Arabidopsis thaliana: one gene and its partners. The protein of the gene in region 2 interacts with the protein of the main gene of each other region in a pairwise test. Each region holds a gene or a part of one and is shown on either strand. Other genes may lie near its edges.

Evidence for each region.
Region 1: the proteins of AT1G07860 (region 2) and ABCG2 interact in a protein complementation assay, tested with the Arabidopsis thaliana proteins (one large-scale study listed by BioGRID).
Region 3: the proteins of AT1G07860 (region 2) and HA8 interact in a protein complementation assay, tested with the Arabidopsis thaliana proteins (one large-scale study listed by BioGRID).

The regions. Positions count from the first base shown.
Region 1 is NC_003071.7:15,674,174-15,677,931, reverse strand, and holds the start of ABCG2 (ABC-2 type transporter family protein), read left to right. Parts: upstream 1-2,011; 5' UTR 2,012-2,109; coding exon 2,110-3,758.
Region 2 is NC_003070.9:2,428,273-2,431,451, forward strand, and holds AT1G07860 (Serine/Threonine-kinase RLCKVII protein), read right to left. Parts: upstream 1,160-3,179; coding exon 994-1,159; intron 954-993; exon of another isoform or gene 912-953; coding exon 670-911; 3' UTR 639-669; downstream 1-638. Other genes in the region: AT1G07850 (transferring glycosyl group transferase (DUF604)), read left to right, coding at 1-166, 328-447; AT1G07870 (Protein kinase superfamily protein), read right to left, coding at 670-911, 994-1,106, 1,671-1,969, 2,049-2,440, 2,546-2,735, 2,833-3,071.
Region 3 is NC_003074.8:14,722,250-14,726,007, reverse strand, and holds the start of HA8 (H[+]-ATPase 8), read right to left. Parts: upstream 1,906-3,758; 5' UTR 1,700-1,905; coding exon 1,649-1,699; intron 1,564-1,648; coding exon 1,207-1,563; intron 1,128-1,206; coding exon 813-1,127; intron 733-812; coding exon 286-732; intron 205-285; coding exon 82-204; intron 6-81; coding exon 1-5. Other genes in the region: AT3G42630 (Pentatricopeptide repeat (PPR) superfamily protein), read right to left, coding at 2,373-3,530, 3,605-3,694. UniProt on the Arabidopsis thaliana protein: The plasma membrane H(+) ATPase of plants and fungi generates a proton gradient that drives the active transport of nutrients by H(+)-symport. The resulting external acidification and/or internal alkinization may mediate growth responses.

The DNA of each region.
Region 1 (3,758 bases), on a different chromosome or scaffold from region 2:
CTCTTGCAAGCGCTCTATGTGAATAAGTTATAAAGTGTTTGCTACATGTTTTGCTTTTTCCGGTAATTGTGATTTCAGCTTCTGGGCATTGACTTATATACATCCTAATCTAGCAATACATAAAGGTTTTTAGATTTTGAAAGGTAATATTCGCATGCTCAAAAGGTAATATGCAAAATTATATGATAGTTTTTGTTTGTTTGTTTGCGGTCGCTAGCAACAACGACCATCAAAATACTTTGTTAACTGGTTTGCAGTTGCTATAGCATAATTCAATCGATGCAATATATTGTTATCACTATAACTTGTCACTATTGCTAACGATTTCAAAACGATCATGATTTGATCAAATCTATATCACTGATGACTACAAACAAAGATTAACTACGACTAATTTCGATAATAAGGGACAATGAAGAGATCATCGAAAAACAGATATTCTTGGATATTTTTCGTTAGTTATATTCGAAAGTTTATATTATATTTTCTAGCAAACAGGAACAGGCCCTCAATCATGTTCGACCAAATTAGCTGCCAGAACTGGTTCTCTTTGATAACATTTGTTTATATAGATATAAGAATTTGTTCAACATTTATTTTAACTATTAAACAAAATTGAAAGGGACAGGCGTCATAAAACAAACAAATAGTATTACGTATACAGATTTATGTGGATCATGTGATCTCTTGTAAGAATGGGTAAATAGAATCATCTAGGTCTTATATATTGAAGCGTATAGTATAAAGTTCTGGAAAACAGATATAACAGCCATACCAAACGTTTTATATGCCTACTTCTCCACGTTAGTCTTATATAATGCATTTCTTTTGGGTATTATATGCCTATTTTTTCACGTTAATGAGAATTTTGGGTTTTCGTGTAACCCACTCATACTATTGAAGTCGTGTCCACATTTATGTTCCAGTGACTTTCTAATTACTATTTAGATTACTATATGCCCATGTTGCTCAGGATACCTATGTGATAATGTTCCACATATAAGCTTACTTATTTCTTGATAATCTCTCGTAATTTAAGTTGTGCTCTCATGTTTTCAATCGAAATCGAAATGGCATACGTAAAATTTTATGAACTTTTCAGATATAGTCAGTTAGTAATGAGTGAGTAATATACTTGAGAGATATATATTTGGTTTAATCAAAATTTAACTTGTATTTTTGTTGCTTAATTCAAATATTTTCCTTTTATAATACTTTGCCACTTCTTACTCGTTTGCTAATTAAATATTTTGCCACCTCAAGTATGTGACTGATTCTGAACAATTTGTTTTTGTTCGATTGATTATGGAGGACAAGTACTGAATTACATCCGAATAATGTGACTTTTTCTCTTGCTAGATATACTTTTTTTTTGTAAAAATCTTGCTAGATACTTTTTTTTTTTTGGTCAAACAATCTTGCTAGATACTTAAGTATCCAAAACATGTTATTTTGTGGTATCTCTCAATAAAAAATATCAACCATCCTCATTCCTCCGAAAAGAAATGTTTTCATTTGTCAACAAAAAAAGATAACGACAGTTTTACACTAATAAAATAAAATAAGACAATATTGTAACGTTAGTTTTAATAAGATAGGTACGAGTTTGCCGCTTTGGCACGATTTGGACAGCTAGCTGCTCAGTAACAGTCAAATCTAATTTTGCACGTACGTTATTCGCAACACTAATTACGCCTATAATGATTTCAATCCCTTAAGACCCGTGTAACTAAACCCAAATAGTTACTTAAAACTCTAGAAAATAGCGAATTTTCAAACTACCTTAAGCCCCAAGAAATAGATATAAACATAATGAGGAAGAAAAATCGAGAAGGGTTTTTGTACAACTTCCTCTCACCTACCCATTTACTTTTAGGTTTGTACATTACATCAAAACATACAAAACCCAGAAGCTATCGTTAGATACTTAGAGATTACCTACTATATTGACCATTTCGTATCTCTTTCATTCTTATAATAAAAAAATATCTCTTTACTTTATAGTAGTCTCTTCTCTCATTCCTCCTATATCCTATTCGTGTCTTCTTTGTGGGTATGAGCTATATAACCCACATAACCTGAGAAGATTAAGACAAAAATACATAGAAAATGTCTGGCTTGCTCGGAAAATCATCTCCGGCCAAACGGGTTGATGGCAACAATGATCTTCCTATGTATTATGTAAACCCGATGTCCGTGGAGCCTCAAGGACGTCCAAGCGACACGACTAGAGTCTCTGTCACATTCGCCGAGCATCTTATGAACGTGGAGGATGCAAGGAATGATGAAAGTGCAAGTAGCCGGGCTCTGGGAATTGCCTCACCTATCAATTCTGCTGCATCCTCTTTCAATTCATGGGCCTCTGCTCCTGCTTCTTCTATATCTTCTTCCCCGTTTGTTCTTTCATTCACTGACTTGACCTACAGCGTGAAGATCCAGAAGAAGTTTAATCCCCTCGCTTGCTGCAGAAGGTCAGGAAATGATTCCTCGGTGAACACTAAGATACTATTGAATGGTATTTCAGGTGAAGCCCGCGAAGGGGAGATGATGGCGGTTCTTGGAGCAAGTGGGTCCGGTAAATCAACACTGATCGATGCATTAGCCAACCGGATCGCAAAAGATAGCCTCAGGGGATCCATTACCTTAAACGGAGAAGTTCTTGAATCAAGCATGCAGAAAGTCATATCGGCTTACGTGATGCAAGACGACCTTCTCTTCCCGATGCTTACCGTGGAGGAAACTCTAATGTTCTCTGCAGAGTTCAGGCTCCCTCGTTCACTCTCCAAGAAGAAGAAGAAAGCAAGGGTTCAAGCTCTGATTGACCAATTAGGCCTAAGGAGCGCTGCAAAAACCGTGATTGGTGATGAAGGCCACAGAGGAGTGTCTGGAGGAGAAAGGAGACGGGTATCAATTGGAAACGACATAATCCATGACCCAATCATCCTCTTTCTAGATGAGCCAACCTCAGGGCTCGACTCTACAAGCGCCTACATGGTTATCAAAGTCCTTCAGAGAATCGCACAAAGTGGCAGCATAGTTATCATGTCAATCCATCAGCCTAGTTACAGAATCATGGGTCTTCTAGATCAGTTAATCTTCCTTTCTAAGGGAAACACAGTCTACAGCGGCTCACCAACACATCTCCCTCAGTTCTTCTCAGAATTCAAGCACCCAATTCCTGAAAACGAGAACAAAACAGAGTTCGCTCTCGATCTCATCCGAGAGCTGGAATATTCTACAGAAGGAACCAAGCCACTTGTCGAGTTCCACAAGCAATGGCGAGCAAAGCAAGCACCAAGCTACAACAACAATAACAAGAGAAACACCAACGTATCTTCTCTCAAAGAAGCGATAACCGCGAGTATCTCAAGAGGGAAACTCGTCTCTGGAGCAACGAACAACAACTCATCAAACCTAACACCATCATTCCAAACATTCGCCAATCCTTTCTGGATTGAAATGATAGTAATAGGCAAACGTGCTATATTAAACTCAAGAAGACAACCAGAACTCCTCGGAATGAGACTAGGAGCTGTAATGGTCACCGGAATCATCCTAGCTACAATGTTCACTAACCTAGACAATTCCCCAAAAGGAGCACAAGAACGTTTAGGATTCTTCGCATTCGCAATGTCAACAACATTCTACACATGTGCAGAAGCAATCCCAGTCTTTCTACAAGAACGTTACATATTCATGAGAGAAACAGCTTACAACGCTTACCGGAGATCCTCCTACGTCCTCTCTCAATCCATAAT
Region 2 (3,179 bases):
TTACTTAAACTCGGCTAAGTATGATGAAGGACGTCGCCAAGTGATTGGATACTACAACTTGGACAAGACAAGGCGGATTCCCGGGTGCCGATGGAGGCTCGATTCGCCTGGAAAGATCGATTCAGTCGTCGTTCTCAAGCGACCTGATCCCCTCCGATGGCACAAGGTTGGTCCACATCTTCTCTTTGCTTCATTATTAACAACTTGCATCAAATATAGTCATACCGGTTTGGTTTTGGCTAGTGAATTGACAGAGATAACCGGCTGAGATCATATAATAAACCGGTGTTGAAATAACATGATGTTAAAATTGTGTGTTTGGTGCAGTCACCGAGGAGGGATTGTTGCAGAGTATTGCCGAGTAGGAGAAACCAAACGATGTATATTTGGGTCGGAAATTGCGCAGATGGAGAGATCAGTGAGCTTGAACATCCTCAGCAGCATTAACAAGATTCAGATATATACTCACTAAAGATTTCTTCAAATGACTATGCAATTTGTTGAAAACATTCTGTGTATCGTCGTTCACAAACAATTCTCAATCCTAAATCAAAAACTATTGTTTCAACTGAAGCAAATACAAAGAAAAGAAAAATTCAATCCCTGAAAGTTATCTGTTCATGAAAGAAATCAGTAAGAAACTGAAAGAAACTTTTCTCCGTTCAGAGATTAGACTGCGTGTGGCTGTTTTGCTTTGTTCACCGACTGGGTTGCATTTTGCTGCGATTGAGTTGCGTTGTGAAAAGTTGTGAGATTCTGATTGGTAGAGACGACGGCGACGAGAGCTGAGGAGGCTGGTGAAACAGCAGAGGAAGCAAGAATCGCTAAACTGACATGAGACTCGTTTCTCACGGCCATGGATTTCTCAAGACGATGTATCGACATTATCTCTCCATCGTTCATGACGCTCACTGTAACCAAAACCAAAATCAGAAAGACTCATTTTCTCGGGAAAATCTTTTCTTAGATTAAAGAATCGGAGAAATAAGGAACCTGAGTGGGAGAAAATCCAGAGGGTGAAGAAACAGAGAAAAACGATCACCGGAATTGCATGGATCCAATACTCCGATACCGGAAATATCCCTCTCCGGGTGTTTCCTGTCCTTCTGCCAATGTGAGAAGAAGAGATCGGGAGCTGAGAGAATGATCTTTCCGCCATTGTTGTCTTATCTTGTAGCTTCTCTTCCAAGAATCACAAAACCAGTAGAGAGAGATAAGAGAGAAGAGATTTGTGAAGCCTTCTTGGATTAGGTTTTGGTTATTTAACGGCAAAAATCTTAACGGGTTCACGCGGGATAAGTTGCATCACGTGATCATAGTCCTATTTCTATTACATATTTACGACTTTTGCCATTCATCATTATGAATTTTTAGACATTACTTAATCCTAATTTACCAGACTTTTTGATCGGGAAAATATATATATGACCAACGATATTTGTTTTTGTTCAATATATGTATATATGTCCCAAAACAAAATGGTTTTTTTTTTTTTTCCTTTTCTACAGAACAGAAACATTCTACATACAAAGAAGCCGAGTCAAGATTTACATCCACAATAGATGTTAAAAATGTACCTGAGTTGGTTTTATATTTTTCCCCAATTTCTTGGTGAAGCCAAAATTAGATTTGATTTTTTACCACTCTCTTATTGGATATCCTATGAGGACCCTTCACATTCAGTTTCCTTGACGAGGTGTGGTCTTTTCTCTTCATCATCTCTGTCTCTGTGAAAAGAAGGGTTCTTCCCGCTGCTGCTGCTAGGGCTATTCGGATCATATTTAGAAGAGGCTAAGAAGTTGAGAGCCAATACTACATCAGATACCACTGGTCTCATGGTAGGCTGCTCTTGAACGCACATTGCTGATATTGCTAGTGCTTGGTACAGTCCTCTAACTGGGTATTGTCCCTGAAGCAATGGATCAACCATTTTTGGGAAGTTCCTCCTGTCTTTGAACAATGGTCGTGCCTGTTAAAAAGCACCGTGAAAATATGAGTCTTGTTTCAGTAAAGATTATTATGAGTCACAGCCAAGAGACAAAACATACCCATCCAACCAAATTCTGATCTTTACGCGTTTTTGTATTGTCAATCGCTTTCCTTCCGGTGATAAGCTCGAGAAGGACTACTCCAAAACTGTATATATCGGATTTAAATGTGAGCTGACCCGTCATAGCGTAGTCAGGAGCACAGTATCCGTACGTTCCCATAACCCTTGTCGAGACATGGGTTTTATCCCCGCTTGGTCCTACTTTAGCCAACCCAAAGTCAGATAGTTTCGGTTGATAGTCTTCACCAAGCAAAATATTCGAACATTTAAGATCTCGGTAAATCACAGGGGGCGTCATTCTGTCATGCAGATACTCTAAACCTCTTGCTGCACCAGCTGCTATTTTCATCCGGGTGTTCCAGTCAAGAGGCTTTTTACCAGAAGGGAGAACTTGAAACAGTCAAAACAACAATGTAAAAGTTAGATGAGAAAAGGGGGTAGCTGCGAGACAAACAATACAGAGGCAAAGGATAGGAATTTGATCTTACAACATACCATGTAGATGATCTTCAAGGGATCCTTGCGGCATATACTCGTACACCAGTAGTCTCTGATCACCCTCAGCACAAAACCCAATAAGCTTCACAAGATTCGGATGGTCAGCAAGACTTAGAGTCAATACCTCAACCACAAATTCCCTGATTCCTTGAACCCCATTACGATCAAGTTGCTTGATTGCAACAACCTAGCAGCAGAACCAAGTTTCACCAACCGTTCAAAACTATGACAAATCTCACAGCCAATTGATAAAAACAGATAGGATTTTTCTTTGTCACAAGTACCTGATCCAATTTCTCTATAGTTCCCTTGAAAACTTTTCCGAAACCTCCTTCACCAAGAAAACAATCCGATCTAAAGTTTCCCGTAGCTTCTGCAAGTTCTTGAAAAGTAAAAGTCTGTGCTTTCTTCCCTGTGACTTGGTCATTTAGATTCAAACCCTTCACATCCAAAGATAACTGATCTTCCTTACCAACTCCTCCTTCATTGTTTACATCTCTATATGGACTGACTTTTGTTGAATCTACAACACATGGAACGAGTAACAAAATCGATTACCAGTTATCATGTGACTTAACCAAAAACAGACACGGCAAGATACCAAAGGCTCAATTTTGACACTTTGTCCCCT
Region 3 (3,758 bases), on a different chromosome or scaffold from region 2:
ATGATCTAGTAATAATAAAGTTACTCAGATAAAGATAGTAAGTTAAATTAAAAGTAAAACCAAGCATATTAGTTACATTACCTGCTCAGGAGCTCCTTTACTGCTCCGATGCCAGTCTCCGCTTTCATCGATGTATGTGATCGCTGTACGTTTATCTACAGGGTTAAAGGGCAAGAAATGCACCTCTGTGATTCCTGCTCTTGCCTATTTATTTCATCAAAAACAATTGCAACATAAGGACAGTAAACAAAATGAATCCAAGTTTCACAAATATGAAGTACGTACCTCTTTAGGATCACCCAACATTCCGACGATGGAAGCATCAATGGCATCTTGGTTTTCAATCCTGGAAGCTCTTGCAGCCATCAATACAACTGAGTCACTATCCATGTTCTTTGGGAACACTTCAATTAAGGACTTGTCGACAGAGAGCTTGTTAAGGGTTAGAGTTCCAGTCTTATCACTGCAGAGAACATCCATTCCAGCCATTTCTTCAATTGCAGTCATCCTCTTGGTGATGGCACCTTGTTGAGAGAGTCTATGTGATCCAATAGCCATTGTTACAGACAAAACTGTTGGCATGGCGATTGGGATTCCTCCGATCAAAAGCACCAATAGATTATCAATACCATCTCTGTATGTGCGGTGTTGGATAGGGTACATAATCAATATCTCAATCAACATCCCCAATCCAATTGAGCATATACAGAAGTTACCAATTGATGTCAAAACCTGGAAAATAAAAACCCAGCCGTGAGACCCTAGGTAGACCAAGAGTTACAGTACTCAGATGTTGTTCATTTCTAAAATACCTTTTGGAAATGGCCAACATTGTTGGTACTGTCAACAAGATGAGCAGCCTTGCCAAAAAAGGTGTGGACACCCGTGGCAATGACAACAGCCTCAATCTCACCTTGCTTGCAGGTTGAGCCAGAGAATACTTCATCTCCTGGGTGTTTGGTGGTTGGAAGGGATTCACCAGTAAGAGCAGATTGGTCAATTTTTAAAGGATCTCCTTCGAGGAGACGAGCATCAGCAGGAACAATGTCACCCAATTTGATGCTTATCAAATCACCCGGAACCAAGATTGAAGCCTCTTGCTCCCCCCATTTACCATCTCTCAACACCTACATTCACACATAGGTTATATAACTCTCCTTTTTAGAAAATACATACCTATATATATGTATTGAGAAATTTGCATACCTTAGTCTTTGGTGCAAGATTTGCCATGAGAGCAGCAGCGGCATTGCCAGCATTGTTCTCCTCGATGAAACTTATGGTGGAGTTGATGATAAGCAACACCATAATACCGATAAAATCTTGCCAATCCGGCGCCTTTCCTCCTCCATTAGCTAAAACAATAGCCATGATTGCAGCAGACTCCATAACCCATGAGAGAGGATTCCACATGAACCCCAAGAATTTCAAAAACTTGTTCTCTGATTTCTCTTCAAGCTTGTTTGCCCCAAATATTTCAAGCCTTTTAGCACCTTCATCGCTGGACAAACCTTCTTTTGAGCATTTCAGCTGCTCAAACACTTCTTCCACAGGGATCCGCTCCTATAATATAAATCATTCAAAAATTATTACAGATTTTCAACAGTTCAAGATCTCGAGAACGAATTAAACTCTGTAAAAATCTTACAAGGTCCACATTTTCTTTCTTGATTTCATCCCACGAGAATTCAGTCGCCATTTTTCTTCCTTAAAAGAGAGACAGATATAAAAAGAAGATATATCCGATGGACGTATAAATCAACTTCTCCCTTCTCTCCTTGCTCTAAAGCCTTCTCTTAGCATGCAAGACGCTTTCAAGACGAGGCCATAAGAGAGAGGGAGAGAGAGGAAGAAGCGTGTATTACAAGAAACCTATGAGAAGGTATAAATACAAAAGAATAACACACTCTAAAACAACCATTGTTGTGTTCCATTTAAAACCCTCACCAGCGATCTAACTCTATTCTCGGAACTTTTTTCTTTTCTTCCAGTAATCAGGTTTGGTGGCTTACCAAAGCTTTCGCTTATTTCTTCCTGTCCTTTTCTCTACACTTTCTAAAAATAGTGCATCTCAAATTTAGCCTATGATTTCAATGTAACATGCAGAATTTACTTTGAGGAGTCAATATGTCTTTCTATGGTCCACAACTCCGGATAAAAATGTGCATTAATAATATGTATGTAATTCAATATACATATCTATTTAACAATAAAACATTGTAAATACAGGCATGTATGATTTATATGTAAATCTAGTAGCAAGAAGACTCTCTAACCTCAATGTTTCATTTCAAGCATCGGAAAAGTTTATCAGGGGGATTGTGATAGTGAGCAAAGAGTGACGGTCTTTGCAGCAAAGATGTGGCATGTAGCTAGTAATTCCAGAAAATCTGGTCTCTCCGCAACTTTTTCTTGAGATAAACTCCAATTAGCTTTCTATACGTCCAGTTTTTCCGTGGACTGAACTCCAAAACAGCTTCCGAGCTAAGATGGAAATCCCCTTTCCCCAGAACTTCAAATGCAAGTGGATCAGTTAAGACAAGAGGAGAATCGTCCAGATTCATTCGGTTGTATACAAACTCCAAATTTCTCGCTAGTCGCTTATCCATATATGCATCGACAACACATCCGAAAGTCACAAGATCCGGAACAATGTTCAAACGTCTCATATGTTCAAGAGTGAGATGTAGATCCCAGAAGAGAGCCATTCTAGAAAACGCAAGAGCGCGAATGTTAAAGGTGGTAAGGTCAGGAGAGAAACCCGCATCAAGCATTCCAATAAACTCTCTCTGCAAGCTTTTCATCTTAAAATCAGCTGCATATGACAGTAATACAGAATTCCATAACATATTTCCAAGATTTCTTCTACCGAGACCAACATCTGACAAAAACTCGCGTAACCGATAAAACTTCCGTTGTTTCAAGTACGCTAACACCACAGCTCTTATCTCTTCTTCCTCTATCACAATACCAAACTTCTTAACCCGGCCATAAGCCTTCTCCATCTTATCTAAACTACCGAAAAAACTATAGTATCTAACAATCACATTAGCAGTCTCAGCCTCTAACAACACTCCCTTTGAATCCATTTCCTCTATAACACCCTCCATCAGTTCCAACTGTCCATTCTTACCAAAACAGGATATAGCAAGTGAAGACACAACCGGAAGAAGCTTCGAGTGCCTTGCAGCAACATCCTTGGTGATCTTGGCAACTTCATCAAAACAACCAAATTGCTCATAAGCAGATATAAGCTTAGAGACTACAAAGACATCAGGTACAAAACAACTGTTTATAATCTCATCCCAAATCGTACGTGCTCGAAGAACAAACCCATTTTCAGCAAAACAAAGCATAAGAGCACAAAGGGTTCTGTAATTTGGTAACAAGTTAACTGATTTCGTTTGGAGAAAAATCTCATGAGCTACATCAGGTAATCTTCTCTGGCTTAAAGTTTGAACTAATGGAGCGTAGTCTACGATTTGTATCTTTTGACTGAAGTCCCTAGATAGCTTTGATTCCTTGATCAACTGTACAAAGTAGAGAGATACCTAAAATTCAAGATATGAAGTGAACTAAGAAACAGAAGCAAGTGTGTAGGTACCTTTTTCGCGATTGAAGGAGCAGACGAATCCGTGTAACAAGATAAGAGCTTGAGATGTTGGGGTTTCAAAGATAGATTGAGCGACAACATTGCGACCAGTCTCGGTTACGGTACGGTGGTGACGGAGGAATCGAGGAGATTTCCGGAGGGGAGA